3 linked regions of the Cricetulus griseus genome follow. The protein of the gene in region 3 interacts with the protein of the main gene of each other region in a pairwise test. Links are inferred from orthologs where the notes say so. Each region holds a gene or a part of one and is shown on either strand. Other genes may lie near its edges.

Region 1 (10,904 bases), on a different chromosome or scaffold from region 3:
TTTTTCTGTAGCACAGTTTCCAGGTCCTTGATTAATACCATGTACCACCATTCTTGTCCTAAAATTTTAGGGGCTGGAAAGATGGTTCTAAGGTTAAGAGCAATTGTTTGTTCTTGGGAAGGACACAGGTTTTGTTTCTAGCAGCCACACAAAGGCTCCAGCAGTCTGTAACTCCAGTTACTCCAGGGATCAGTGTCTAGCCTCCAAGGACACTAGGCATGTCCACAGTACATTTTACATACATATACATAAAATAAGCATCTTTAAAAAAGCATAGCTATATTTTATTATAACTAGTTTTCTTTGCATTTCTCTGTTCCCCAGGTGATCCTCCTGGGTCAATCTGGCTGGCTGCCTCTGGATTCCTAAATGCATTTGATGTAATTTAGAAACATTCTGAGATAGAGTCCTTATGTGTCACTAACACTAAAAAAGTTAAGACTTCTGATTTATGGGTGTTTTCTTTTTAGTTCTTACTGTCACCTGTACAGTAGGGCCTGACGAGTCCTTTAAGTGACTTCAAGACCTAAGGCTCTCTTGTTTTTTGTTTTTTTTTTTTTTTCTTCAAGACAGGGTTTCTCTGTGTAGCTTTGGAGCCTATCCTGGCACTCACTCTGGAGACCAGGCTGGCCTCGAACTCACAGATATCCGCCTGCCTCTGCCTCCAGAGTGCTGGGATTAAAGGCGTGTGCCATCAACGACCGGCTTCTCTTGTAGTTTTGTATTCTTTCTGCAGTAGACTCTTGCTCCTCTGCCTTCATGCTGCCTCGCCAGTATTTTTCATCTTAATTTTAGTTGCATTTTTCTTTTTACAATTTGAGAAAGTCAGTCCTTTAGCGTGTCAATTAGCTCCTCATCTGTGGATTGTTTACTGTCTTCTGTGTTATGGAATGCCTTGGGACACACTTATTACTAGTATTTGAAGCTGAACAAAAAAAAAAAATAAAAAGTAAGATTCCCCACTAAATCTGGATATTGTCCTGATTTTCTTTTCTTTTTTTTTTTTCTTTCTTTCTTTTTTTTTTTTTTTTTTGGAGACAGGGTTTCTCTCTGTAGCTTTGGAAGCTGTCCTGGCTGTAGACCAGGCTGGCCTCGAACTCAGAGATCTGCCTGCCTCTGCCTCCCGAGTGCTGGGATCAAAGGCGTGCGCCACCAACGTCCGGCTCTTTTTTTTTTTTTTAATTTATTCTTCTCTCATATTACATCCCAGCTTCCACTCCCATTCTCTCCTCCGTGTCCACCTCTTCCACTTCCCCTCTCCCTCAGATTTATTCCTCTTATTTTTCCCTTCAAAAAAGAGCAGGCCTCACAGGGATATCAACCAAACATGGCATAACAAGTTACAATAAGCCTAGGCACATGCCCTAAAATCAAGACTGGACGAGGCAGTTGGAGGAAAGCAGCCCCCTCTGCCTCTGTTAGGAGTCCCACGAGAACAACAAGCTACACAACCATACGTGTATGCAGAGGTCTTAGGTAGCATCTACAGGGTCCCTGAATGTCGGTTTTATCTCTCTGAGTCTCTAGGAGCCCCGGTTAGTTGATTCCATGGGCCGTGTTCGTGTGGTTTGTTTCTAATTTTGTGACCTGATTTAAAGATTAAAAAAAAAATTAATACTCACTTTGTTAGCCCAAGCTGGCTCTTGAACTTATTACTCTTCTACCTTGGTCTCTTGTGCTAGAATCACAGGCGTAGGCCATCACGCTTGGCTAATATATATATTATATATATATATATATATTATATATATATATGAAATGTTTATGAATGGTATGAAAATCAGTATCTACAAAGGATGTGCCTGAGATTAAGTCTTTCACTCCCTTGGTCTGCTGGGCAATCCATTTCATCCCAGGAGGTAACCACTGTTCCCACCTCTGAGAGTGATTTTTGACTATCAGCTCTCTCAATTCCTTCCTGGTCTGTGAGATGTGTGGCCTTTCCAGGCCCTCATGACCTCAAATCTGATTGACTTCATAAATTAGCAATCATATGTGTATATTTAATGTACATACACAAAATCTCTCTCCCTATGGCCTTCCGGGCCCGGTTTTCATCACATCGCTTCCTGGATGAAGAACCTGGAAGGGTGAGGGGCAGGGGTTGGGGGTGACAGAGAAGAGGACCTGAGGGACTGTGGCCAGGGGTTGAGTGGTGGACTGCTGTGAAGCACTGTAGGGTTTCCTATTTTTATTTTTCCCACTAGGCCCCCTTCCAATTCGGTCCAGCTCAAGCCTCTCCTTTCCTAGGGCCGAGACAGAGACAGGAGAGATACAGAGACAGAGACGCCGAGGCACCAGCATCTCTCCCCCCCCCTACACCGTCCCGCCCCACAGCTCTGACGGACGTCAACTCGCAGCCAATGACGCTCGCGAATTGCCTCGGACGGGCCAATGAGAGACACAGGAGGGCGAAAGCTTGCCCGCCCCCCCCACTCTAGCTTGGTTGAGCCGTGCAGGTAGGTCCGGGGCCGGGGAGCTGCCGTTGGCACTACTGCCCCGGGGTGGGGGCGCGGCGGGTCGGGGTGATGGTGGCGCAGAGTGGGGCGTCCCGTCCGGGGACGTCGCGGGGGGCGCCGCCGCGGGCGGAGGGAGGCTGAGGGGTCGCGGGAGCGGGCGCCGCCGAGGGCCCTGAAGGCGGCCGGGCTGAGGACGCAGGGACGCGTGTGGGGCGCGGGACCCCGGCCCGGCGCCCACCGCCAGGCCTGGGCCTCGGGCCATGGGCCGCGGCGGACCGGGAGACGGGAGGCCAGCGGGCCGGAGCGGGGGCGCGAGCGGTGTCCCGGGGCCCAGGCCGAGCGAGGTGGGACGGACCGCGGCGGGCAGGACGGAAGCGGCATCCCGCGGGCCGCCCCCTCCTGAGGCAAGTCGGGCAACGGCCACGGGCTCCGGCCGCGAGCCCCGGCCCCGGCCGCCCCTCCTAACAATGGGACCGGGCCGGAGGAGTCGCGGGCCGCAGGGGGTGGGGGAGCTCCCGGACGAGGGTCGGAGGCGGGGGAGGGGCGGGACTGGCGCTCTCTGGATCTCGGCCCCGAGGTTCTGTGGAACCTGGGGGTCGCGTCGCGTCGCCTCGCGGGTGGGGGCGGGGGTGGGGAGGGGCGCTCAGGCTCGCCTGCGAGTCGGGTCAAGAGTCAAACTCCTCCGGTCCCCACCCCCCAAATCCGGTGAGCGGTAGGCAAAGTGATGCCAAGTCTCCCTAACCGAAGTGACAAACGCGGAGACAGAGCAAACCCACCCCAGTGCTTTATTTTATTTTTAAAACGGGGGACCTCGACTCTGAATTTAAGAAATTATTTTTTTAAAGAGGTGAGTGTGTTATTTTTGTGTTCCTACGCGGGCAAGCCTCCATTTTAAGTGAAGCAGTAACTGGTTAAGCTGGAATGTTCATTCAGGCCTAGGACTTAAGGCTCCTACAAGGAAGGGGTCATTTAGTCCATCCTTTTGCGTCCCTACACACTTAGCACCCACCATCTTCAAAATTAATTCCTCTGGGCTGCTTTTAAAGATCTCTGGGAAAGAAGGATCTTTTCTCCCCCCCTCCATTTTTTTTTTTTAACTTGTAGTACTTCAGTGAAGAATAGCAACAATTATTATAATGATGATGATGTAGAATCAGCTCTGAAACTTTATTTATTTATTTATTTATTTATTTATTTATTTATTTATTTTGGTTTTTTGAGACAGGGTTTCTCTGTGGCTTTGGATCCTGTCCTGAAACTTGTAGCTCTTGTAGACCAGGCTGGTCTCGAACTCACAGAGATCCGCCTGCCTCTGCCTCCTCAGTGCTGGGATTAAAGGCGTGCACCACCAACGCCCGGCTGAAACTTAATTTTAAGAAAAGTTAGGACATTGGAGTTGCCAGAGAGGTTTACATTTATTAAATAAAAGTAGCTGTAGACTTTTTTTTTCCGGTGACGAGTTAATAAATCACTTTCAGTAGTGCTTATGAAATAATACTCTGGGAGAATGGGAGAATAACTTTTCCTCCTGGATTTTGGTTTTCTGAATCTTTAATAAGTAATTTTTGATTATTTAAAATTTATGGTCTCTGATGTAAAATATACATGTGAAATTCCCTTTCCAAAGAGAATTGTATATTGTACCTTTTGTTGTTGTTTTTGTGTTTGATACCATCTCAACAAGTAGCCTTGCCTGACCCTGAACTCACTAAGTATACCAGGCCAGTGTTGAACTCCTAGATGACAGCCTGCCTCAGCCTCCTCTGAGTGCTGGGATTAAAAGTGTGTGCCACACCTGCACACTTTCTAGGATGGTAAGGCAGTTGGCACTTAGCATCCTTCCCAGATAGAATAAGCTATTTGCATATTCTAGATTATTGTCATCTAAATGAAACATCCTCCTTTTCAGATCTTGCCACTTTTATCCGTGGTAACTGAGGGGATTTCTTAGTCTCTCCCTGCTTCTTTCTGAGGCTCATCTGAACTATTCCTGACACTATGAATGCTATTTGGATGCCTCTTAAGGTAAGATGTATTGGTTTTTCCTTATTACTTCATATGAGTGTTTTAGAACCAAGAATATTTGTTTGCTATTTGTGTTTTGAGACAGGGTCTCATGGTAGCCCAGGCTGCCTTGAACTTTTTAGATTGCTAAGCATGCCTTTAACTTCATGAACTTCCTGTCTCAACATTCCAAATGCTAGGATGTTCTTGAATTTACAACTCTTCAATTACCTTACAGGATACTTATCCTGAGGACTATTAGCTTCTTAGGATTTGTATTATTGCTGTTCTTGATTGGTGTTAAAATATTAATGAAGTTCTCAAATTAACTTTTATTATAATGATGAGTTCATTTTTTAAAATAATTTATTTAACTTTATTTTATGTGCATTGGTGTGGAGGTATCTGGAACTGGAGTTACAGACAGTTGTGAGCTACCATGTGGGTGCTGGGAATTGAACCTGGGTCCTCTGGAAGAGTAGCCAGAGCTCTTAACCACTGAGCCATCTCTCCAGCCCCAGAGTTCATTTTTTTTTTTTTTTTTTTAAACCTTAAATTATTACAGCTTGCATACTAGTAAAATTCTGTTCCAAACCTGGCTTATGGGGTTGGCAATTCAGACTTTGAGGTCCATTTTCAAACAGGTACTTACTTTAGAGTCATATGAACTTGGGTGTGTCCCACTTTTGCAAATCAGAGCTGATTCATGTGTTACAAAAGATGTGTCATTAACCATTTGTTTACTCTGAAGTTTCATATAGTATATTAAGGTTTATGTGTACAACTCTTCATCTGCTGCTCCTTAGGCCAGTTCATGAACCCTTACACTAATTTTTTTCAACAGGTAGCCATTGTGTCCTTTCATTTCAAGGGCAATGTGGGACAGTGACCATTTGTCTCTTATGGTTCTTTCTGATCTGTTCGGAGATGGCAGAAGAACTCTTGGTTAGGGCTAAGCAGAAGACTGAGCTTAAGGCTTGAAAGTGAGGAAGTGAGAGGGAGGACCAAGAACTGATAAGTAGTGCTAGAAGTCCTCTGTCAGCCTCGCCTTCCTTGAGAGTTAGATAATGATATAGTTAAGATTGTTTTGATCTGCTCCATGTAATTCCAGAATAGTATAGTGGGTAAATCAGAATAATGCAGTCTGTGTAACCTAAATATTTGGACTTTTGGGAAATCTTTAGGTAATGTAGACTGGATCTTATCCTCACTTTTGTTCTGGCTGCTCTTGTTGGATGAGTGCATATATTAATATAAAGGGGTCCAAAGTGACTCATTCTTTGCAGTCTTTTCCCCATGGTACAGCTGGAGGGATTGAATGGGGAAACAGTCTGAAGAATCGATTGCCTAGGAACTGGAGGACCTTGTATAATTGTGTTTTCATTTCCTTTTTTAAAAAAATACATTTATTTTTATTTATGTGTGTTGGTTTTTTGCCTGCATGTATATCTGTGTCACAGTGTCAGAACTCCTGGAACTGGAGTTGACAGACAGTGGTAAGCTGCCATGTGGGTGCTGGGATTGAACCCTGGGTCCTATTAGTTAGTATTCTTAACTGCTGAGCCATCAGGACTTGCTGACTTCTATGACCAGTATATTAGATTTCATGTTTCAGCTTCCTTGGTTTTAAGGTATTAAATATATTGAGGCCTACTTTTTAAAGATGTGTGAAGTGTTTAAGGTTTTACCTCTAATGGTAAACCTGGGGAATTACCAGAGTCCTTTGACTTGTCGGAAATACAGTCAGTGTCCTATAGTAAGTATGAATTATTATCTCTTAACTACTCGAGAATGTAATTATGTGGCTGCCTTAGTTTTATGTTTCCTACCAATCCTTTGATCGGTGTAAAACTGTGCTAAGTTTAAGCTTTGTTGTTTTGAGATAGAATCTTGCTATATGGTCTAGACTGGCCTAGTACTCTAATGACTCTGCCTCCCAAGTGCTGAGATTTCAGGCATAAGCCATAAACAGTTTTTTTTTTTTCTTCACATTTTCTACCTTTATTTTTTTTTTTTTAGAAATCAGTTTTTTTTTTTTTTAATGTATTTACTTTTTATATGCATTGGTGCTTTGCCTGCAGGTATGCCTGTGTGGGAGTGACAGATCTTGGGAGTTACAAACAGCGTTGAAGTGCATAGGGGTTCTGGGATTTGAACTCCGGTCCTCTCGAAGAGTAGTCAGTGCCTTTGACCGCTGAGCCATCTCTCCAGCCCCTTCCTCCCATTTTTTATACTTAACATTTCAAAATACGTTTAAATTGGCAGAAACAGTACGTTTTTTTCTATATTTTCAAATTAGAGTTTTTTTTATTTTATTAATTAAATTTTTTACTTGTATTTTATGTATGTTGGCGTTTTGCCTGCATGTATGTCTGTGTGAAGGTGTCAGATCCCCTAGAACAGGAGTTACAGACAGGAGTTACAGACAGGTGTGAACTGCCATGTGGTAGGTCCTCTGGAAGAGTAGCCAGTGCTCATAACCACTGAGCTATGTCTCTAGCCCTTTGTTTTTGTTTTTGAAACAGGGTTTCTCTGTGTAGCCTTGACTGTCCTGGATCTCTGTAGATCAGGCTGGCCTCAAACTCACAGAGAACTGTCTGCCTCTGCCTCCCAAGTGCTAGGATTAAAAGCATGCACTGCCACACCACCACCAAGTTATATTTTTAAATAAAAAGAAATGAGACTTTAATTAAAGTGTATACATCATGGCAAATGTTCATGTTTCTTTTTTTATATGATGCTGGAGATCCTAGATAAGCATTATATTGCTGAACATTAGCCTCAGCCCCTAAAATTTCTGTATTTCTTTGGCTTGTTTTCAGATACCTTATTTTATTCTAATTTAGTTTAAAATTTTATATTTATTTGTGCTTGCACAGATGTACATGTGTGCACACATATGGGCCATAGTGCAGGTGCTGGGTGGAGGACAGAGGACAGCTTGTGGGAGTTGGGCCTCTCCTTTCACCAAGTAGGTTTCCAGGATCAACCTCAAGTCATTAGGCCTAGCAGCAGGTTTTTTTTTTTTTTTTTTTTTTTTTTTTTTAAGATTTTATTTATTTATTATGTATACAACATTCTGCTTCCATGTATATCTGCACACCAGAAGAGGGCACCAGATCTCATAACGATGGTTGTGAGCCACCATGTGGTTGCTGGGAATTGAACTCAGGACCTCTGGAAGAGCAGCCAGTGCTCTTAACCTCTGAGCCATCTATCCAGCCCATTTTGTTTTTTGTTTTTTTTTTCATTTAAAAATTATTATTTTGTTTTATATGTGTCGGTGTTTTGCCTCCATGTATATGTGTGGAATTCTGAGCCACAGTGTGGGTGCCAGGAAATGAACCCAGGTCTTCTGGAAGGGTGGCCAGTGCTCTAACCATTGAGCCATCTTTCTATCCCCCAAATAATCATCTTTACATGCTGAGCTGTCTTGCTGGTCCCTAGTTAAATTATTTATTTTACTTTGTTTTTTTATGGGATATGGTATCTTTATATAGGTAGCCCTGGCTAACCTAGAACTCACTATGTAGACTAGACTGGCCTCAAACTCAGAGATTTACTTGCCTCTGAATCCTGAGTGTTGGGATTAAAGGTGTGTACTGCTACACCTGGCCTAATTTATTTTTTTCATGTTTACTTATTTCTGAGTGTGTCTGTGTGTGTATATATATGTAGCTTACAGTTTTCCTTCTGCCATTTGGGTCCTGAGGATCAAACTCAGGTTGGCAGACTTGGCTTGCTGTGCCTTTATCTTTGAGGAGTTTGCTCTGTCCTTGTGCCTTTATGTGTTTTCTAGGAATTGAACTCAGGATATCAGGCTTGAATGGCAAGAGTCTTTCCCTGCTGAACCCTCTTGCTTGCTTTTTAAAAATTTTTTAATTTGAGCCGGGCATTGGTGGTGCATGCCTTTAATGCCAGCTCTCGGGAGGCAGAGGCAGGTGGATCTCTGTGAGTTCGAGGCCAGCCTGGTCTCCAGAGCAAGTGCCAGAATAGGCTCCAAAGCTACACAGAGAAACCCTGTCTCGAAAAACAAAACAAAAACAAAAAAAAAAAAAAAAAAAAAATTTAATTTGAAACAAGTTCTCACTGTTACCTTGGCTGTTTTGAAACTCCTCATAAAGACTAGGCTGGCCTTGAATTGAGAGAGATAAGCTTGCCTCTGCTCCCTGAGTGCTGGGATTAAAGGCATGATCCACTATAACTGGCTTTTTATACTTTTTGTTTGAATCAAATCCAAATATTTGAAAACAGAATTCAAAACTAAGTGGAAACTAACAGGTAATTCCTTACATCTTCCTTTGTTGGAAGAGAGGGAGGCAGGTTTTTGAACAGTGGCTAAAGTGATGACCTGAAAATGGTCTAGTAATTTAGAACATATGTTGCTTTGGGATGTTAATTTTTTTTTTCTTTTTAAATTCTTTTTTGTTTTTTAAAGGATCAAACTCAGGTTGGCAGACTTGGCTGTATAGCTCTGGCTGGTCTAGGACTCACAGAGATACATCTGCTTCTGCCTCCCAAGTGCTGGGATTAAAGGAATGCACTACCATGCCTGGCTGGATTTTAATAATAATAAAAAAGATTGTTAATTTTATTTATGTATGTATCTGTGTGTGCCACATGTGTGTGGGTACTCAGGAAGTCCAGAAGCGGATGTCAGATCTTCTGGAGCTGGAGTTACAGGTGTGGTTGTTAGTCACCCAATATGGCTGTTGGGTATCAAACTTGGGTCCTCTGCAAGAGCAGCAAGTGCTCTTAACTGCTGCTATATCTCTTGTCCCCAAGAATTTTTTCCCCCAACATGGTATCAAGTAGATTAGGCTGGCTTTAAGCTCATGATGTAGCTGAGTATGACCTTGAATTCCCCCTGCCTCCACTTAAGTGCTGGGATTAAAGGCATGAGCTGCCATACCATGCCTATTTTTTAAAATTACTTTATACATATGGTTGTTTTGCCTGCATGTGTATATGTGTACCACATTCTTGCCTGATGTCTAAGGCATTCTGAAGAAGGAATCAAATCCCTTGGAACTGGAATTACAGACAGTTAGCTGCCTTCTTATGGGTTCTGGGAATCAAACACAGGTCCTCAGGAAGAACAGCAGCAGGTACTCTTAAGGATTGAGCCATTTCTTTAGCTTCCCCCTTGCCCATGCCTAATTTTTTTAATGTAGTGCTAGTGATCCCAATCCAGGGTTCTTGCATGCTAAGCACCATCTTTCCAGTTGAACTACTTGGTAGTTTTGAGGATTTTTTTTTTCCCCCAAGACAGGTTCTTGGTATGTAGTAGATCAGGCTGACCTTGAATTCATGGTGATTCTCTTGCCTTAGCCTCTTGAGTACTGGGATTTCTAGCATATGCCACCATCCCTGGCCAGTGATTTTGAATTTATTGATGCTATTTTTTTTTTTTTTTTTTTTAGGAGAGAGCTACAAGGTCAAGCACTAATGTGGTGGTGCACACCTAACTTTAATACCAGCACTTGGAAGGCAGCAGGCAGATCTTTGAATTCAAGGCCAGCCTGGTGTACATAGTGTCATAGTGTGTTTCAGGCCAGCCAGGACTCTGTAGTAAGACCTTGTCTCAAAAACCAAAAAAAAAAAAAAAACAACTAACAGAAAGAATGTCTGTCACACAGCACAGTATTTAATGTGGGTGATGACTGACCCTGTCGTCAAGGCCATTTCTTGCTGGTCTTTTGCAGTTTTCTTTGTAGACTTTCTGTCTTTTGCTGCTAAGAATCATCTGGCTTTCCTTGATCTTCTGTTTTCTCATTCTGTGTAGGAGCTCTGTAGGCATCTAGTTGTAAATCACTTACTGGCTGTGTGCTGATGATTTAAAATGTGTTTTCTGATCTCTAATCCCATTTACCTCCTTGATATTTCACATTAGGTATTTCTTTATATTTTAAGTTTTAAAAGATTTATTGGCTGGGCGTTGGGAGCGCATGCCTTTAATCCCAGCACTTGGGAGGCAGAGGCTGGCGGATGTCTGTGAGTTCGAGACCAGCCTGGCCTACAAGAGCTACAAGTTCCAGGATAGCCTCCAAGCCACAGAGAAAACCCTGTGTCGAAACACCAAAAAAAAAAAAAAAAAAAAAAAAAGAAAAAGAAAAAGACAACTGCCTGTGTAACGGCCCAGAGGCCAGAACAGAGTACACAAAAGAAACTGCCAACACATCTTTGCCTCTGAATGTGAGATGATCCTAGATAGGCCATCAAGAGCATGGGTGCTTGGCTAAAGCAATTGAATTGTACCTCAAAAGCTGGAAGAGCCACAACAGAAAAAGGATATGATCATTCAATAAGATCTACATTTACCAGATCACTTCTGATAGAAGATTGGAAGATAGAAGGCAGTGAAAGAGAATGAGGTAACTCAAATGTCATGCAAGCAAAAAGAAAAGAAAAAAAGAAAAAAAAAGGTAATGGTCAGAACCA
Region 2 (10,965 bases), on a different chromosome or scaffold from region 3:
GTACACAGGGCACCGGTCACATCACAAACTCATACCATCTGTACTCTCAACATTCTGAGGCCCAAAGTAAATGTGGTAAAAGCCAAAGGAGAAATTTTTAAAAGAGAGAGATTTAGAGGAGACAGGCATGGCATCTGTGCACATCCAGAGAACAAAGAGAATCAGGAGCCTTGAGGGTGGCAGTCAGGGAAAGCAGGCAAGACAGACTGCAAGATGAGTCAGACACTGAATGAGGGCACTGGGTCGACTCAGCTGCACTTAGCTGGCCTGGGGTGGGAGTGGCAGGAATTGGAGGAAAGGAATGTCAGGGGGCAGAGAGTGAGAAGTGCAGAAGATGGCTAACTCAGAAAGTGGGGAAGAGTTAATTGCAGATTGAGACGGGAAAGCTGGGAAAGCTCCCAGGCTCCCGAGGTCTCTAAGACCTTTCCTGCCTGGCTCTGCAGAGTTGTGGTAATGTACTTACAAAAGCAGGGTAAGGAAAGAGTTAAACTAACAACAAAGATGTCAGTCTTGGACCCCTGCTTGGCAGACAGAAGGCACCCTGCGGCCGCTAATGCCCTCCATTCATTTCAATGTTTTCAACCTATTTCAAACGCCCCCATGCTAATAATGATCTCATTTCATCTCCAGTGCAACCCTGGGAAAGAGGTGGGACTGGATGTTATAACTACCCTGTGGCTTCCTAAGAAGCTGTCAAAATGTTTCTGCCATCCCAGAACCGTGTGGCTGAATCTGGCTATACCCTAGGGGCAGCACAGGAAGGTTGGGTCCTCTGCCTGGGTTCCATTCTGGCCTTGATCCCTGCTGATTATCCCGGGCAGGGTGTTTCAGAAATCACAGCATACGGATTCATTCTTCTCCTGGAACTTCCCAGGCTGCTCAGTTTATATCTGATAACCAGTACCTAATGGCCACCTCACCCACTCCCCTGGGACCTATGTCAAGCTTCTGTTTCTCATTAACTGACAGGGACCCAGCACTCAGAGAGGAAAAAGCCTTTGCCCTGAGTTGAACAGGGAGCAAACATGGAGAAATCTTGGGTGACATAAAAAGAACACAGGGCTGGGGACATCAGAAGACCTGAATTCTGGTACTGGCTCTGCCACTTAACCAGATTCATAGACCAGCCAACATCTCCCCAGCCTGGGTTTTCATAGCTGCCAAATGGAAACAGTATCCATGACTAGGGATTGTTGAAAGAGTAAGATTATACTGTTATAATGTTACATAAAAACATTTTGCTTGAGCAGGGGTAATGGTTTCATGGTTAAGAGTGCTTACTGCTCATCTAGACTGCTCAGGTTCAGTTCTCAGTACCCACACGATGCCTCACAACTTCCTGCAACCCAAGTTCGAGGGGATCTGATGCCCTCTTTTGACTGATCTCTGCAGGCTCAGGCACACACATGGTGCACATAACTCAGGCACACATGTACACATAATAAATATACCTTTAAAATTACTTTCATGTATTTAATGGTTGCTGGAGGAGGAAGACACCCCCACAGTGGTCTAGATACTGGTAAGGTGCCCATGGTTTTGTAAGCAACCTTAATGAAACTCATTGGGACATACACAGACAGACTCACACACACACACACACACACACACACACACACACACACACACACACAGGAAAAGCAGAAGAGGTGTTGATTAAAAAGAGTAAGGGGATCATTGGAAGTAGGAGGAGAACAAGAGAGGGCATAAGGGGCAAATATAATCAAAATACATTATACACATGTATAAAAGTGTCATAATGAAAAATTGTATATAATGAATATATACTAATAAGGAAAGAAAAAACCAAATTATTTCATCAGGAATGTAAACAACAACGGGAAGAGGCTAGACTAAGCATGAACAGTCTGGGCTCTGCTCAGGCCACCTGTGCCAGACCCTGAGCCAGACCTACATTGTTACTCCAAGGCCCCTGCCAACAATAAGATTATAATGTTGCATTGGGTATACACCTAGTGTAGGAATTCCAGTTCTGGCTACCCAGATCTTTGTATTGATCAATCCATTGACTGAGCTACTTGTGTTTATTTTCAAAACAGGGTCTCATCATGTTGCTCAGGTTGGCCTGGACTCCTGAGCTTGAACTATTCTGCCTCAGTCTTATAAGCAATTGGGACTCCAGATGCATCCCACTATGCACAACTCCACCCTGATTTCCTGACTGTCCTATTACCTGTGTTCTTACATTGCCTTAGACGCAAAAATCTTATGGAAAGATACCAGTCAGTTCCCAACAAGAACATTAGAAATACCCATCTGCACTTTCTTCCTTTATCAGCCTCTGTTACCCCCACTGCCTCCCAGCTTAACACGGTAAGGGATACCTTGGAAAAGAAATCAATGACTGATGGACCAGATAGAATTTTCCACTCAATAACATCACCCTGCATGTTAGACTCTCTCCCTGCTAAACAAGACTGGACAAGCAGCCTTGCCTTTAATATCCTGCACCTCCCAGGTACCAAGACCCTGGTCCTTCCCTTGAGGAAGCAGCTCAATATAACCCTAGTTGAGCTTCTCTATGAGTGAATTAAATATTAAACACGCCAGGCCACAGCCCCTGGTGCAGCAGCATATCCCAGTACATAGACAATGCACATAGCTCAGTTGTCACTCTTCCACTGGCTGTGGGCTGGGCCTCCCCATTCCGAGCCCACACTCCTAAGAAGAAATAAGAATTGACAGTGTTTGATCTTCCAAGCAAACTCATGGTTCTCCATATTTTTCCTCCAACCCCAGTGTTGAAGGCTCCAGGGATCCGGAAATGCCTGGAACACTGGGTTGTGACATCTGCAGCACTGAAATTTAACAGGGATCTGCAGCTGGGGATGTAGCTCAGTTGGTAGATGTTTTTCTAGCATGCACAAAACTCTGGGGTTGATCTCCAACTGTGCACAAAATCATGCATGGTGATGGTACTTGCTTGTAATCCTAGCAATCAGGAGATGGAGGCAGGAAGATAATTAGTTCAAGGTCACCCTCAGCTACATAAAGAGTTCTAGGCCAGCCTAAACTACGTAAGATTCTATTTACAAAGAAGAAAAAAAAAAGGAGTAGGAAGAAATTTAACAGGTCTACCACTGACTCAATAACCTAGGTTCACATAGGGCGAGAGGTTCTCTCAGAAGTGGCCAGCTCAGGAAGGATGCTGAAGCCCTGGCGACTCTCAGGACAATGATTGACACGAGGCCTCGTTGTGTAGGCCAAAAATGTTTTGTTCTTTTTTCTCAGATTAATATAGGCCATAGAATTATCAGATTGGTAGATACTCAGTGATCCCTCAGGCTAGCATCCTACTTTACACAAAGGGAAATGGAGGTAAGAGGAAAAGAGAAAAACACTGCCAGTCACTCAATGAGCTGTTGCCTAAGAGGCATAGACTCTCTGGGATAGATCCCAGTTCTCTCTCCATCCTACTTCCTACATGACACTCTGAGTCTCCTTCCTAATGTCACCAGGAGTAGGCCTGGCACTGTGTCATCCAATGGGTCATTTCCATAGGAAGCAGGATTCTCTCACCCTCATGGTCTGGCCTTGCTACTGAAGACTAAAATTATGAAGTCTGAGGGTACCAGCTCAACTCTGCAGCTCTGAAGAAGGGAACCTTGGTCCTGTCACTTTCTGAGCCTGAGCCTTAATTCCTCATCCATAAGATGAGGATTTAAAAGCCACTATGTTGAAGGCTCTTGTGAAGATGAGACAAGGTGAGACGAAACTTGGGTATTTTGTAAACAGTGATGTGCTGTCTGAACGTCAGATGCTATTAATATATGAGGTCTGAAGACACCAAGTGGTGGAGAGTATCAGGGGAGGAAGTCATAAGGAATGACAAGCCACACTCACAAGAGGAGAGTCCTGAATGGGATTCTCATAGACCTGACCAATCCCGGGGCCATTTGGAGATGGACAGCAGCAGGTCAGACCATCTCAAGTCCACTGGTTCAAGAACCTGCCCACTCTGCTTGGTGTGTGTGAATGCATGCAAGTGTACCTGGCTACCTAGTATTATAGTGCTTTGCTAAGCTGCTCTGGGACAGTTATCAATATGTGGTCCTAAGGTGGCATAGCCCACTTCAGGCCAACTCACAGACCCTCAAAGGAAAGAAAATCTACCAATCAAAATCCTTGTGGGGACCTCTCTCATCCTCTGGGGTCCTTACCTTGTACTTGGCTGCAAGCAACTCTGTGGCCTGCTGCTCCCTCCGCAGATCCTCCAGCATCTTCTCCTTCTCTTCTAGAAGCTTCTGTTTCTCCTCACTCACTAGGCTGCGGTCATCCTGGATGGCGGCCTTCTCCTCCTCCAGCCGCTCCTTCTGTTCCTGCAGATAATTCTCCATGTTCTTCTCCAAAGCTGACTCCAGAATGGGCTGGGGTGGGCGGTGATTGTTATTGTTGTCATCTTCTTCTTCTGCCACCCAGGCCTCAATCACTGGCCCCTCTGGGTAACCTGCTGGGGCTGACACAGCCTTCTTTCTGCGGCTGCTCTTTCTCCGAGGTCGCTTACCCAGCATCCCTTTCTTCTCCAGCTGGGCCTTCAAGCGGGCGATCTCTTCCTGGAATTCCCTCAGCAGCGTGTCCTTAGGGTCCTCATTCACCCGGGGTTTGTTCTTGATGTTCTTGGCTCGGTTTGCAAAGCGTAGGGTGGAAAGGCTCTCATCGTAGCTGTGAGAAGCTGGACCCAGTGTGGCCACCATGATGGTCTTGGCATTGCCCCCCAGTGAGTCCTGGAGCAGCCGGGTCAGTTTGGAGTCCCGGTAGGGGATGTGGGTGCTCCTGTTGCCGGCCAGAGCAGCAATCACATTGCCCAGAGCAGACAGTGAGAGATTGATTTTGGAGGCTTCTTTAGGCCTCTCTCCGCTGCTGCCACCGCCGCTACCGCTGCCACCTCCGCTGCCACCACCCACTGCTGGCTGTGTGGCTGGCCCTCCAGTTGTGTTGGGACCTGCCTTGTTTTGCCTCTCACTACCAGCCAGGTCTACCAGGTTGAGCTTGCCCACTCGGATATGGTCCTGGCCATCTGAGCCACGCTCACTGCACTCCACTGTAATGACAAATATGGCATGGGACCTGGAGCTGACCTCATTCATGTGGGTGCTTCCCACTGCCCGGGTCTGGTTCCCCAGGTTCATCACATGTTCAATCTCCTTGACATTCTTGGTGACAAACGAGGAGAGGTCCTTGATATAGACCCCTGTTTCAGGATTCTCCTTCAACTCTAGCCTCTTGCCTGGCTCTTTGGATAGCAGGTCTCGGATCTCCTCCTGGTAGATCTCCAAGTAAGAGGCACGAACCAGGTACTGCTGGTTCTGGGAGCGGGAGATGTGGGTGAAGATGTGCTCAAAGGCATTGGGGATAACCCCTCTGAGCTCTGGCTCCACCCAGGTCCCCTGCATAGTGTAGGTCTTGCCGGTGCCGGTCTGGCCATAAGCAAACACGGTGCCATTGAAACCCTGAAGCACTGAGTCTATCAGGGGCCTCACCGTTTCATCATACAGATCGGCCTGCTTGGAGCTAGCATCATACACAGCATCAAAGGTGAAGGTCTTGGGCAGTTCCCCGGGTGCCGCGCGGGGGTTTCGCAGAGTCACCTGGCCCAGTTTCACGTCCATGGTCAGAATCTGCTCATGACCAGCAGCCTCCTCCTTCCTACTGAGAGGGCGGCACCGGGCCACCACCTTCAGGGCCTCGCTGGCCTTGGTCTTACTGGCCATCTTGGGGCTCTGTCCTTCCAGAAGGGCCGCTCTGCAACCTGGGAGGTCCTCCTGTCCTACTCTTAGGTCGGGATCAGCCAGGCTGGCCCAGCCCCCAGACACCGATCTTCAATCCGCATGCAGCCTACCAGGGTGGGGATGCAGGGAGTCGGCCCAGAGGCTGCTGCAGTCCAGGCCTCCACAGCTCTCCACAGCTTTCTGTGCACAGACTGGAGAGGTAGAATTAGGCAGAATCCCCAGGCAACCGCGCAAGCAGCTCCTGCCGAAGGGCAGTGCCTGGAACCCGCCCCATACTGGGGCAAGAGGGAGCGCTACGGTAAACAGCTTCGGCAACAATGAGATAAAGGAAGAGGAAAATGTGATGGGGGTGGGCGGCAGAGCTGTCTTTTCCTCCTCCTTTTTCCTTTCCCCTAGGGATCCATGGCGGGGGATGCGGGACCTGGGCGGCCAGGGAATCCCGATCCTCCCGAGGGCAGAGGCTCACCTGGAGTCCTCCCCTCCGGCTGGGGGATCATTCATTGCAGACACAGCTGGCTGCTGCTGCCTCTCCTGCGCCTTCCCCGCCGCCGCCACCGGAGAATGAGAGAAAAACAGAAGGGGTTGGGGCGGAGCAGCGGCGGCGAGAGCGATGTTGCTGCGGCCGCTGCGCTGCGGCCGGGGCTAGGTCTCCCGGCTGGGGTGGGGCAAGGGGCGGGGCCGCGGGGCGGGGAACAAGAGCCCGGCCTGGCCCTTGCGCGAGGGACAGCGGTGCATCGCCACCCGCACCCCGCCGACCCCTCAGGGATGACAGGCTCGGGTGCCCACCCAAGTCCCGCGCCCACCAGTCGGATGCGGCGCAGCCACCGCCCGCCGTCACCCCACCGAACCCGAGCATGCTGGGAGATGTAGTCCCTCCTTTGTTAACAGGGTTCTGTCAGGTTGCTAATGCTTTCTCCAGCCCTCAAGTCTGGGAGCCCCTCCTCCAGCATGCAAACCCCCACTCCCCGAGTGTGTCTGCTGAGGCTGCACCACCCACGCGTGTTCTCTCTGCAACCGCCATTCTCGGTTTCTCACTGCTCCTTCCATTTTGCTTGCAGATGGGGACATGTCACCGTCCCCCACTCTTCAGGGTGTCACCAGGCCTCCTGGAGCTTAACTCCTAAACATGGTTTACTCCCTATTCTGGTTTACTTCTGCCTGGCCTTCCCTGTAACACTCTGCTGGAAGCACAGTTAACTGATTCCCTGCCTCGTGCCTGCACCAAGCTCTAACTCCAACCACTTCTCTATAACCTTCCATATCCCAAGAAGGCCTGTCTATCTTCTGACCTCCCGGCCTTACCTCCACTTACTCCTGATAACAATGCCATCACACTTTTCTAGCTCTCCCGCTGAGCCCCAGGCCTATTCTAGTAGCAGGACCCCTATCATATAAGGGGCCATATACTTAATAGGGCTCATTCTGCCGTGTTGTGCACTGGTTAATTTTTGTCAACATGAACTAGAGACTCCTGGAAAGAGGGAAGCTCAGCCGAGGAATTGCTTCCTTCAGGTTGGTCTGTGGAGACATATTCTTAATTGCTAATTGATGGAGGAGGGGCCAGTTCACTGTGGGAGGTGTCACCCCTGGGTAGGTAGTCCTGGGGTGTATGAGAAAGGTAGCCTAATGTGAGCCTGTAAGCCAGCCAAATAAATAGTGTTCCTCCATGGTTACTACTTCAAGTTCCTGCCTTGATGATGTACTGGAACCTGTAAGCCAAACATACCCATTCCTCTCCAAGTTGCTCTCAGCAGTGTTTTATCACAGCAACAGAGAAGCAAATTAAATCGGAAGCCTTCTTTAACTGGTTTGTTTCCATAGCAGAAAGGATGGATTTACATAAAATAAAAAAGCTTGGGCCTAGCATTCTAGTTCCTGTGTGATGGTGTATGTATGTGTTTGCAGGGGTGTGTACACATGTACATATGGGTGTGTGTCCATGTGGGTGCCTCTCCAGGCCAGAGATTAACCTCATTTGAAAAAATGACTTTAATCCCGGCACTCAAGAGGCAGAGGCAGGCGTATCTCTGTGAGTTCGAGACCAACCTGCTCTACAAGAGCTAGTTCCAAGATAGCCTCCAAAATTAGGTGCCTGGAGAGATGGCTCAGTGGTTAAGAACACTGGCTGTTCTTCCAGAGGTCCCAGCTTCAATTCCCCGCACCTACATGGCAGCTCACAACAGTCTGTGATCTGGCAACCTTGCACAAACATACATGCAGGCAAAAATGTCAATGCACATAAAAATAAGTTGATTATAAATAGATTGATTAAAAAATTAGCCACTAGTGGTGATATATGCTTTTAATTCCAGAATTCAGGGGGCATAAACAGGTCTGAGTTCAAGGCCAGCCTGATCCACAAAGAAAGTTCCAGGACAGCCAAGGGCTAGGCAGAGAAACCCTGTTGTTTTTTGGCTTGTTTTTAAATGTTATTTTATGTGTTTTGCCTGTTTGTATGTATGTTTGTATCTCCAGCGTGTTCCTGGTACCCACAAAGGTCAGAAGTGGGAATTAGAGTTGTGGATAGTTGTGAGCTGCCAAGTGGGCACTGGGAACAGAACCAGGGTCCTCTGTAAAAGCAACAAATATTCTTGTCACTGAGCCATCTCTTCAGAAGCCCCTGAACTTCATTTTTTGGGGGATGGGGGTGGGAGGCAATGTTCCTTCACTCATGTGGAATCCACTGACTGGGTAGACTGTCTGGCCAGTAAGCTCTAAGTATTGGCCTGTCTTTACCTCCCCAGTGCAGGGGTTATTGGAGATCACAATTCAATTCCTTGTGCCTGTGCAACACACACTTCTAGCTGAGTTATCTTCCCAGACCACATACATAGCTCCAGTTCTGATCTCCACCCAACAATCCACTCTGCTTCAGCCTTAGCTTCCTCATGTGCTTATAAATGGATTTGGGGCCTAGAAAGATGGTTTGGCAGATAATGATACTGGCTGCTCTTGCAGAAGACCTAGGTTTAGTTCTTAGGTGGTTCTACACAGTGGCTCACAACCATCCATGACTCCAGCATCCTTACTTCTACTGGTACCAGGAATACATGTGGCACACACGCATATATTCAGGCAAACACACAAACATATAAAATAGTGCAGGCAAACACTCAAATACATAAAATTAGCTGGGCCGTACTGGAGCACACCTTTAATCCCAGCACTCAGGAGGCAGAGGCAGGTGGATCTATGTGAGTTTGAGGCCAGCCTGGTCTATAAAGTGAGTGCCAGGACAGGCTCCAAAGCTACAGAGAAACCCTATCTTGAAAAACAAAAAAACAAAAAGTTACATAAAATAAGAATAATTATTTTTAAAATGAATTTGATATGTGATGTTTATTTTATCCACAAGCTTTAAAATAAAGTTTATAAAGAATTAAAAGAAAAAGGAGATAAAGGTAGGCATGGTGTCATCCACACTCAGAGATGGAAACAGGAAGATGGAGAGTTTAAGGTCGGCTTCAGCTACTGAGCAAGTTCAAGGTCAACCTGGGCAGCAAGAGACCACCCTTTTCCCCCATCTCAAAACAAACAACAAAGCTTGGCTCCTTGTGTCATCGCTATCCCTAAATCCTTAGAATTTGAATGTCAGCCCGGCCAGCAGCTTTAGGGTTAGCTGGTAGCTTGCCCACTTGTGAAGCTCCCTGGCCTTCCTCCCCACTCCGTTGGTCCAGCTTCAATAATGAACTTGGCCTTTGGAACAATTACTGGTGAAGTTTTGGCTGTGAAACTTTACCTTCCTTGGCCCTGACAACCTGACTTCTGGATACTATTTGATTCTTGAACTATTTCCTTGTTGGGCTTGGCTTGGCTTTTGCACGTCCATCTCTGTTTTGGCTAACTCATCCGCCACTACTGCGCTGGATAAAATGCAAGTGTATCCTGATCCTTCCATATTGGCACCACTGGCCCAGGTCCTTCCGTAAGGGAGCTGAGGGTGAAAAATAATCACTGCTTCCAAGATGCAAGTCCCTCTAAATTACTTAAGTCCTCTGAACAGCTATTTTCCCAGTAGGATAGGAGTGTTTACCTTTCCTCACCCAAAGATTAAGTCAAACGATATATGTGAGCTCTCTTAGGCCATAAAGGCATTCAAGGAATAGGCACACAGGCCTGGGGATCCGGCTTAGTCAGTAGACAACTTGCTAGCAGACATGAAAACCTGGGTTTGACCCTCAGCCTCCGAAAATCTGGGAGCAGTGGCACAAGTCTATAACCCCACTACTTGGAAAATTGAGACAGGAGGCTCAGAAGCCCACGGTCATTTTGGCTGTAAGTTCCTTCCTCGCCCCTCCATCACGCTCAAAGCTGTTTGCGTTTTGTGTCTTCCTTTCAGATTTGTCTCCACCGTTCTTTCCTGCCCGGTTCTCCAGTTGCTCTGACTTGCTTAAGGTCCCCCCAGACATGGCACTGTTTCTGTGTGTGTCCCGGTACTCGTTGCTCAAGATGCCCCCCAGACACCCCACTGTTTCTGTGTGTGTCCCGCTGCTCGTTGCTCAAGATGTCCTTTTTCCTTTATTCCTGTCGGCACAGCCTCGTTTCCCGCTATTCAACCGCATAGGGCTCCTGCTCACACCATTCAGAGACCCCTCTCTAACCGATACTACTTTTTCTGTCAGTAAGCTGCTCCGAAACTCCCTGAAAAACACACCCAGAGTCAGGCGGTGGAGGTGCACACCTTTAATCCTAGCACTCTGGAGGCAGAGGCAGGTGAATCTTTGTGAGTTCGAGGACAGCCAGGTATACAGAGTGAGTTCCAGGACAGCCAGGGCTACACAGAGAAACCCTGCCTCAGGAAAAACAAAACAAAACAAAAAACCCACACCCAGAATTTAGAACTTTATTTTATTTACTGTTGGAGAGACACAGAGAAAGAGGGAGAAAGCACAGGCAACTCAGGTCATCACAGTTGTGTGGCAAGTGCTCTGACCCACTGGCTATCCGTCTAGCCAGTGCCCTTATTCTATTTTTTTTTTCAAGACAGGGGTTCTCTGTGTAGCCCTGGCAATCCTGGAACTCACTCTGTAGACCAGTCTGGCCTCAAACTCACAGAGAACCACCTGACTCTGCATCCCAAGTACTGGAATCAAAGTTATGCATCACCACTGCCTGTCTACCCTTATTTTATTCTGAGACACGATCTTTCTAAGTTGCCCAGGCAGGCCTTGAATTTGCAATCCTTTTGCCTTGGCCTCCTGAGTAGCTAGGATTA
Region 3 (10,259 bases):
TTTCCACATTGACTGCACCAGTTTGCACTTCCACCAGCGGTGAATGAGGGTTCTGTTTTCTCCACAATCTCACCAGTGTCTGTCACCATTTGTCTGCAATGGGCCTGACATTTCACACGGCTTCTGCGTTTCCATGTCCTGTCAACTTCCTTACTAGGGACTTCCTGATCACCCTGGTACTTAAACATTGTCTCCTTTTGAGTTTCCGACAGTTGATGGGTGCTAGAGGAAAGTGGTTTCTTTAGAGGTGAGGTCTCCCTTAGGTTGTCCTGCTCTGGTGGATGACCCCATACGCATTCGTATACATGAAGAACTTAGTGGATTTAGTGGGTTATAAAAAAAAAAAAAAAGGACATGCAGTTGGGAAGAGGACAATGGAAAGGGATCCAGGAGGAGTTGGAGGGGACAAATCAGAGGCAGATATGATCAAATATATTATATGCACTATCAAATTCTCAAAAAATATGTTTTAGAGCACTAGATGCCCACCAGCCTTGGTCAGCCTCATGCCAGCAGAGGTTCTCTGAGTAGCATCCTCAGGATGCCCCTGTTCTTAGGGAGTTCCTGTGTAAGCCCTGGCATGGTTCATCCATGGAAGGACCCTCTCCAGCCTTGCACTTGACTGATGCCAGAAAGCACCTGGAGTCTGAAGCTGGCTTCCATTGATGGTGTCGAGTTTGTGAGTGACAACAGCTGCCATGTTGATCTAGCCAGGTGTGGTGATGAGTCCCAGAACTCAAGAGGTGGAAACAGGAGGACAGACAGCCACAGTGAGGCTAGCTGAAACTAAAGAGTCTCCCCAAACAGTCAGCCAGAAATCACAGAATGAGGATCCCCACAGGTAGGGAGCACAGTGGCCCAGCAGAGTCCTAAGCCCTGACTGCACATCCCTGCCCATCCACAAGCACTCCTTTCCCACATGTGTAAGTGTGTCTTCCATGTGTCTCCAAAATGAGATTGAAACCCCTTAAGAGCAACAACTTAGAGGGCAGAAACAGGAGGATCCCTAGTTCAAGGCTAGCCTGAGATATACAGAGAACTAGAAGCCAGCCTGAGGTACATAGTGAGACCCTGTCTTTAAAAAAATTAAATACAACCTAGCAGATGTGTATATGTGTATTTCACAAGCTCTCTGCAGTGTAAAACATAGGAAAGACCCCTTCGTGATAGATGAGACACCACATTTGAGAAAGCAGGAATAGCAGTCTATCTGTTTTTCTCTCCTATTAACACTTTGGGCAGATTATCAATTTTTTAAATTATTAACCTTCTTAAACTACTTTTCACTGTCTGTAAAACAGACAGCATAATTGATGTGACCCACAAAGTAGCTCTGCCCAGGACCAGGCATTTGACATTGCTTAGCCAGCAACAGCAGCAACACAAGCTCATTCATCCCAGTGACCTGATAAAAAAATACTGCTTATGTTGCCCTCTTGGTTTATTTGTTCATTTGTTTGGAGTTTTTGTTTGGTTTGGTTTGGTTTGGGAGTTTTTAATTTGGTTGGTTGGTTGGCTGGTTGGTTGGGTTTTTTGTTTTGGTTTTTTGGGTGTGTGTGTGTGTGTGTGTGTGTGTGTGTGTGTGTGTGTGTGTGCGCGTGCAGAGGGAGGGTCATATATCTTCCTCAATCACATTCTGTCTCATCTTTGTAATATAGGGTCACTGAACCTGGAGCTCATTAATTCAGCTAAACTGGCTAGCCAGCAAGCCTTAGGGATCCTGAGTCTGCATTCTCAGAAATGGGGTTACACTGCACCCAGATTTCTATGTGGGTTCTGGGGATCCAAGATCAGGTCCTTGCGCTCATGCAGTAAATACTTTTGTAACTGAAAATCTCCCCAGCCAGCTCAGACTCTTCCGATGCCACAGCCTACCCCCCAAGTCACACTCTTCCAACGCCATGCCCTACCCCCCAAGTCACACTCTTCCAATGCCATGCCCTTTCCCCCAAGTCACACTCTTCCAATGCCATGCCCTTTCCCCCAAGTCACACTCTTTCAATGTCACATCCCATCCCCCAGGTCACATTCTTCCAATGCCATGCCCTATGCCCCAAGTCACACCCTTCTGATGTCACACCCTACCTCTTAGAAGTGAAATCTCTTTCCAGATAATTGTCTTCAGCAAAAGCCAATGTCAAAATCTCTATCCAACTGACCCCAAATTTGGGAGGGAAGGGGAAAGGAGAGACAAGCCAGCCCCTTGGAATTTTGGAAACTGCCTATTGGAGAGGGGACAGTGCTGGCAGCTAGGGATTGGGTGGACTGGATGCCAAATAACTCCCAGTGCTCAGAACTGACCCCGCAGTGAAGAATCTTACATCTCAACACCACCAGCACTTCCACTAAGCAAACAAACCACCTGAGAAGCACCTGTGAACAATGAATGGGCAGCAAAGCCATCTCAATAAACAGGTGAAAGAGGGAACGCTGGAAAATCAGTTAGAAAATCACCAATACCTCCTAAGGGTTTCAGGTGGCTCCACACAGAAAGGAGCCTGGCTGGCAGAGGTCAATGTCTCTCCCAAGGCCTTGCTGACTTCCTGCAGCTGTCCTGGGGACAGCTGGGCCACCAGTGGCATCAGATCACAGCCCTGCCACTGGAGCAGTGTCTCCTGATCCTCCAACTCTTGGCTCAGCTGTTGTTCTTTTGCCTCCAGCGCAGACATCCTTGATTGGAGAGCTTCGATTTCCTTCTGCAGAGAATGGGGGAACAGATTTCATCCATTAACCCTGCTCTGCTACTAATGAATCGGTTAAATGAGAGCAGGCCATATGCACCACAATCTCGGAGCCCACCCCACTCTTCCGAGGCAGGCCAATTCCAGAAGTCTGCTGAACTGGGAAAATCATGCCAGTTTTATGTTTCTGATGAGTTGGCAGGAAGAAAAACATCCTCTCCTTCCCAAGCATTAAATACGGACAAGCGCTAGCCAAGGTTTTGACTTGAGAGAACCCAGCAAATGATGTATCACTGGCTTCGCTTCTGATGGGGAAGCAAAGGCACTAGCCACTCACACCAAACACTGAGACACCAGCTGTGGGCCAGGAGGGGAAAGGGCAGCCTGCTCCCAAACACAAGAACTTAGGATGTACAAAAACACAAGAACCTTGGCTTGTCGGGTCAATAGGATTGGGAGAACAAGATTTGTCGAGCCAGAGTCTAGTGTCCTTCAGACTGTTGGACCAATTTACTTCCCAGGATTGGTGAGAGAACTCCATCAGTCAAGTGCTTGCCATGCAAGCATGAAGAGCTAGTTCTGATACCCAGAACCCATGCAAAAGCTGGGGACCCACAGAATGAATCTGCAAACCCAGCATAGGGTAAGGGGAGGTAGAAGACAGGAGGATGCCAGGGACTTGCTAGCCAGCCTGTCTAGCCCAATCAGTAAAGTGTAGATTCAGTGAGAAACCCTGTGTCAAAAAAATAATAATAATAAGGTAAAGGGATATTGGAGTAAATATCAAATATCAACTTCTGTCCTCCACATACATGTGCACATACATGCACCTGTGCCCACATTCAAACTCAAACACACACACACACACACACACACACACACACACACACACACACACACACACACACACAATTTGCCCTAATTTATTAAGCTGGAATCTAAGTTAATCCATAACCATCATCTGTCTCCAGGCCAAGAAATAAACAAGCAGCAGGTAATTGAACACAGTGTGAGCTCAGCACTGGGCAGATAGCCATCTCACTGCGTAGGAGTCTGAATATAACACCAGGCTCTACTAACGGACACACCCCCTGTTCCCTCACTGTTCCTAGCTGATAAGAGTACAGCTTAATTCCTGATATCTCCCTATCTCCAGGATGTTCTCTCCACCCACAGTGCAGATTCTCCACAGCTTCTACCTCCTGCACCCACCCAGAGAAGAGAGAGGGCTGAGCTAGCCCACAGTCTCAGTGTGCTCAACAGAAACTCAAAACTAACCACTCTGTGAAACCCACACTCTTTGTTGCTCTCATTTTTGTTTTGTTTTGTTTTGGTTTGGTTTTGGTTTTGTTTCTCAGAGTCAACATCTCACTCAGTAACTAGCCCAGAACTCATCTTATAGCCCAGGCTTGAACCTATAGCAATAAAGCCTCGGCCTCCCCATACTGGGAAGACAGACTCAAGTTTTTCTAAACTATAGTAAAAAAGACATAACAAAAGACATGGCATCTCCACCATTTTGCATGCACAGTTCAGTAACATAGGCACACACACAAACTGGGCAAGCATCCCCACCATCCAACCACAAAACTCCGTCTCCATTAAACACCAACTCTCCATCCCCCTGCCCACCCACACACCATCCCCTCCCCTGCCTCCCACCAATCTGCTTCCCTACTGGAGGATTTCTTCTAAGTAGAATCTTACAGTATCTATCTTTCATGACTGGCTTATGTGGCATAACACACTGTCCTCTACATTCACCCGCACTGTGCCCTGTGGCACAATGTCCTTTTCCTGAAAGGTGAATAACAGACCTTTGCATCCACACCACATTTGGCTTATCCACCCAGCTGTCATCAACTATAGTAATCCAGATGTCTCATCTAGTCTGTGCTTTTATTTCTTTGCAGGTGCATAACCACAATGGGATCGCTGGGTCCTAAGGATTCTATTTTTAAGTTTTTGAGGAACTGCAATCTATTTTCTGTGATGATCCTACATTTTTCCTCTTTTGTTATTTTTTCCATTTTCGTGTGTGTGTGTGTGTGTGTGTGTGTGTGTGTGTGTGTGTGTGGTATGTGTATGTTTGCATGTATGTGGGTATGTGTGGGTAGGATGCCTATGCATGTGGTTGGGTGTGTATGTGGAGGCCCAAAGTTGATGTTAAGAATCATATTTGAGGGCTGGAGAGGTGGCTCAGTGGTTAAGAGCACTGGCTGTTCTTCCAGAGGACCTGGGTTCAATTCCCAGCACCCACATGGCAGTTCACAACTGTCTGTAACCCCAAGATGTGACACCCTATCACAGACATACCTGCAGGCAAAACACCAATGCACATTAAAATAAATAAATTATTTAAAAGAATCATATTTGATGGCCTTTCCACTCTATTCACCGAGGCTCTTCCATGATTCCAGTGTTTCTCATAGCTCCCAGTTCCTGCTCCAGGCTTTAGGCTCAAGTATGCCCACACCCCACCACTTCTCTGTCCCTGCCCCAGGATATTTACTGTTTCAAAAACTTCTGGAGCCCCTCCTGGCTCTGGTCTCACTTTGGATCCTCATTCAGAGTTCTAACCCTGGGCACTTCTTGGCCAGATGTCACCACTGCTCTGCACCAAGCATGGCTTCCATATACCTGCTGGTCATTACAGATGCAGCCTCATGCCGAGCCCAGGCATAAAACCATGTCCCTTAACAGTTACTTCCCAGAGTTCACCATGATAGGAATTCACACAAAGCATTCCCAGAGCACAAACCTCTCCCTGTCCCTCAAAGGGGAGCGTCTATGGGTCAAATAATGGGAGAAACACTAGCTACAGTCAGAGAGCAGAGCCAGAAGGTTCTGAGGCCCATAATACTGTGCAGGTGCCTTTGCAGGTTCCTCTGTGCCCTCCGGCCGCAGCATTACCTCTGCTTGGAGCCCTTACACTCAACAGTGTGAAGACCGACTTCACTGCATCTGACTCACATGGATAAGAAAAGGGCCAGTGCCTCTCTGGAAAATTCTATACCACTCACCTGCAATTGCTGTTTCTCTCGAATAAGCCAGTCCCGCCTGGTGATGGATGCAGATGGACTATCCTGGGCAGTGGTCCTTGGCTCTCCATCAAGTGGGGCCTCTGGAGCATCGCTGCCAGACCTGCAAGTAACAGATATGCATTGGTACAGGTGTTGTGGAACATAAGATGTGTTATATTTGTTTATGCTGTGGAACATTTGTTTAGTGATGCAAAGATGTATTGCCTTATTTTATGTTGCATTTGTTTAACTCTGTAAAGCTGTGTTACTTCACCTGTCTCAAACACCTGATTGGTCTAATAAAGAGCTGAACAGCCAGTATTGAGGCAGGAGAAAGGACAGGCAGAGCTAGCAGGCAGAGAAAATGAATAGAAAGAGAAATCTGAGAAAAGAAGATACAGGAGGACATCAGGGGCCAATCACCCAGCTAAACAGCAAGCCACAGAGTAAGAAGGAAAAAAACGTATACAGAAATAGAGAAAGAGAAAAGCCCAGAGGGAAAAGATAAAATAATTTAAGAAAAGCCTGCTAGAAACAAGCCAAGCTAAGGCCAGGCATTCATACGTAAGAATAACATTTATTTGGGAGCTGGATAGTGGGCACCAAAGAGCAAAGAGTAAAGAGTATAAAACACAACTGATTACATACAGGTGTAGTGAAGCAGACATTGCCAGGTCTACATGTACTTAAAGAGTGAGAAACTGCACAAAGCTTCCCCAGTCACAGGGTCACCCAGGCACTCACAGGGCTGAAGTCCCTAATGTACATGTTTCAACTATAATCTGTCACGTAGACCAGGCTAACTCATACCATCCTAGTTGCCTGTCTGTTGCTATGATAAAACACTCTGATCATAAAGCAACTGAGAGGAGGAAGCAGTTTATTTCGGCTTCCATCCTTCCACCCTCACTAGCCTGCTGTCTTATAGAACCCAGGACCACCAGCCCAGGGGTGGCCACACCCACAATGGGCTGGGCTCTCCCCCATCAATCACTAATTAAGAAAACTAATGCCCTACTGACTTGTCTACAGCCCAATCTTATGGAGGCATTTTCTCAATGAGGCTCTCTCCTCTCCAATGACTCTAGCTGTGTCAAGTAGACACATAACTAGCCAGCCTGTCACCTGCACTCCTGCACTTTCCAAGACACCCCAGGTCGTACGACTCACAGAAAGTTCAGACACCTTTTCCCCCTTCTATCACATCCCACCCTCCCCTGTGGGGCAGTCCCCTGAGAGGCTCTTCCTAGGACAGCACTGGATAGGGAGAACACGGTTCACAGAGGTCAAGGCCACAGTGAGAACTTGGATTTGCATTTCTCTGGCGGTGTCTTTGAACAAACCCAACCCTCTGAACCTCACTGTCCTCCTCATACTGGGCTACCTGGAGAAGGAAGAAAGACACCCTGTCCTTGGGGCATTTGCTGGAAACCTCCAACGTCTCAACATGTGCACCAGTAAAGTGAACACCGGACCTGTCTGGCGGACACACTCCTACACAGGATGAACTTTAATATGAAGACAGCAGCACAACGAGCCTCTTCCGTGTATAACGGCTCTATGGTGCTCTTGGCTTCCAACAGCTGTGAAAAGAGGGTGCAAGCCCTTCTCTGGGCTCTGGGCTCTGGGCTCTGGGCTGCTACCTGCTCTTTGGGCTGGACTGTGAGTCTCTGAGGGAGACATGGCTCTTCTTGTGCCAATGTTCCCAGTGTCCAGCACTGAGCTGGGACTCAGCTAACACCTGCTGGGTAGCTTAATGAGTTCATAGCCTTGAACATGGAGAAGTCATTCCCACCCTGTCTCCCGCTGCATTTGCTCATTTCTTCCCCTTACTTATTTCCCAATGTGTTTGGTCTATGCTGATATTAGAGTTCATTGAATTTCTCCATTCACTGCCATCTGGGTGGAGGTGGGAGCTAGTGTAGGAAGTCAACACAGAACTGAAAAATCAGCTGCAGAGAGAAGCTACAGGTGCAGAGCTGGGAACTAACTCTATGCATGATAGTTAAATCACATCCATTACCACCCCATAAGCCCCTGTGCTTAACCAACACCCCTCTGTCTGTCTCTCATACTCCTACTACCAGGACAGAAAAGAGATCTATGGAGAGCTAGGGGTGGCCTCAGGACACATGGCTCACATAGGGACGGGTTCCATCTTCCATGTTTTTGGTCCCCAGAGTCTCCCAATACTGCATACTCTTTTATTTATTTTTGTAAAGTCTCAATATGTGATCCCTCATGGCAGAGCAAATTGGAATCCTTGCTATAAACTAATCAGTATATAAAATAAGCAGACCCCTCCGGGGAAGATAAAAACCTGCAATAGCACGGAGGTGTAGGGGGCAGGGGTATGTAAGATCTAAGATAACACTCTCAGCCTTGGGGGTTCAGACTGGTACCCACTAGGACCAGCCCAGTTGTAGGGAATCTTCCTCTTTCTGACCGGAATCTTTCCTATCAATCACTGAAGGGATGAACCCCACCTGTAAAACCTGATCATGCACCACACAGAAAAGCACAGCTATAAAATGTACAGACAACATCTTTATTTCCTGATAACATCTTGTGAGCTTCCCTTCTGTGCCCTGGGTATTTATTATAACCTGAGGATCACTGGGCCCTGTGACACTTCAGTCTGCTGTGCTATCCACTTGAAATCAAAGGCTTGTATGCTCGAGAGGAAGAAAGGAAAAGCAGGCAGTCCAGGGTGGCATGCTGCCAGCCTACACTTACCATTTTGGTCCCATCTCAGGGGAACAGACAAGCAGCAGCTGTTACATCTGGACAATGCCAGAGTTCTATCATGGTCAGATTGGAAATCCTTCCTGTCCTTCATTTTTTATCTTTTTCAGACTCTGCTCCTGCATGTTTTAAGTTATCCTCTGGGGAAAGGTCTCTGATTAAAGATATTCTGTGTGTGTGCATGAATTTAGGTAGCAAGAGTACCAGTGTGGATGCCTATGCTAGTGAAGAGCCAGTGAGAAGTCACATGACATGGTATGCAATTAGGGGAAAACAAGGTATAAATGAGAAAATTACCAGTCAACAACAATGCTTGCCAAATACTCCAGAGAAAGGAAAATCTTTCCTTCTGACCCTGGTGTGTCAAAGAGGTGGAATTTTCCCCATTGTTCCAGAATCAGAAATGGGAGTTGACAAGAATAGGCCTAGAAGTATTTCACCTTAAGTCTATAACTGTGGGGTAGGAGCCCCCAGTGGGATGCCACCCTCAGCACCTCCTGCTTACCCGCCATCAGAGTGAGGTATGAAAACATACCGCCTCCCACTTACTGGAGCAGACAGAGAGCTATCCATCCTGCTCCCACAAAAGAGATCAGAAAGCCCAGGCACCTCAAGATGTAAGAGTGGAGACTGATTCTCCAAGGTACACAGCTGTCCAGTTTGGGTTCTCCTGACAGCTAGGCTTGAGGCAAGGATATGAGCAGATTGTTTTTAGAGAAACAACCATAAGACACCATAGAACTGGAACCTACAGGGAGAAGAGTCAGAAAAAAATATATAATCTAACTGATCATCACAGAGGCAACTGAGGCCCCATCCTACCAGGAACCTTCTAGAAGAAGAAAAACATGGCACATTGCTCAAAACTGCCCCTAGAGGCCAGGGCACCGGTGACTGTTGCCCTTGGGGTTATATTCATATGCAGCTGCCCAGGAAACAAAAATATCCCTCCACTGTCATCACCTTCATAATCATCATCACCACCACCACCAGCAGCAGCAGCAGCAGCAGCATCACCACCATCATCACCACCACCACCACCATCACCAGCAGCATCATCACCAGCATCATCACCAGCATCATCACCAGCAGCATCACCAGCAGCATCACCAGCAGAATCACTACCACCATCACCATCATCACCATGTACTTCAGTACAAAATTTTCCTTTTGTGATTTTCACTCACACTAATAGCAGAGTTTCAAAACTGTCTGGCAGAGAACCTAGGTAAAGTGCTAAGACAGTGACATTAATGTATCCTCAGCTGCAGAAGGTCCTGGAGGCTCAAGGCAAAAACGCGATGCCAATAGTGTCTGCCATAGCAGCTGTCACAACCCTTCCTTCTGACGTGGCTTGTCCTATGGCAGACATGGGGGAACTGAGCAGCATGGCAGACGGACATGGTCCATTGTGGGTAGTCTCAGCACCCATCAGCCCACAGCAGAGGTGTGTCAGCTTCGGCCCCATGGGAGAAGTGGGGCCACATGGTAAAGCAGCTATTGCTGAGGCACAAGAAAGTCATTTCAAGTCAGAGTGCAGGCCATGAGGTAGGGACCATGTGAGCCCCACAAGACAGTGAGCATACTGACACCTGCCTACAGAGGACATTGGCTCCACTAGCCAGGAAGCAGCTGTGACAGCAGAATAAGTGTCCGAACAGTAGGCAGAGAAAGCTATGAATCTGGCCTGTGGTTGGCATCTCAGAGTGACATGGCTATATGAAGAAAACAAAAAAGCAGAAATGCCCCAATGCCTATGCTATCTACCTGGGATACTGTAACCAAGTGGAGACGTGGATTTACCACACTG

The links. The genes of interacting proteins can lie anywhere in the genome.
Region 1: the proteins of Disc1 (region 3) and KAT8 regulatory NSL complex subunit 1 interact in a two-hybrid assay, tested with the Homo sapiens proteins (2 studies listed by BioGRID and IntAct). The link is inferred for Cricetulus griseus from reciprocal best matches to the Homo sapiens genes DISC1 and KANSL1.
Region 2: the proteins of Disc1 (region 3) and Kif3c interact in binary tests that used the Homo sapiens proteins (3 or more experiments, as listed by UniProt). The link is inferred for Cricetulus griseus from reciprocal best matches to the Homo sapiens genes DISC1 and KIF3C.

What each region holds. Positions count from the first base shown.
Region 1 is NC_048600.1:117,489,912-117,500,815, reverse strand, and holds the start of KAT8 regulatory NSL complex subunit 1, read left to right. Parts: upstream 1-4,368; 5' UTR 4,369-4,484; intron 4,485-10,904. UniProt on the Homo sapiens protein: Non-catalytic component of the NSL histone acetyltransferase complex, a multiprotein complex that mediates histone H4 acetylation at 'Lys-5'- and 'Lys-8' (H4K5ac and H4K8ac) at transcription start sites and promotes transcription initiation.
Region 2 is NC_048600.1:14,282,672-14,293,636, reverse strand, and holds the start of Kif3c (kinesin-like protein KIF3C), read right to left. Parts: upstream 6,537-10,965; 5' UTR 5,733-6,536; coding exon 4,182-5,732; intron 1-4,181.
Region 3 is NC_048596.1:201,876,615-201,886,873, reverse strand, and holds part of Disc1 (disrupted in schizophrenia 1 protein), read right to left. Parts: intron 5,826-10,259; coding exon 5,705-5,825; intron 2,697-5,704; coding exon 2,461-2,696; intron 1-2,460. UniProt on the Homo sapiens protein: Involved in the regulation of multiple aspects of embryonic and adult neurogenesis. Required for neural progenitor proliferation in the ventrical/subventrical zone during embryonic brain development and in the adult dentate gyrus of the hippocampus.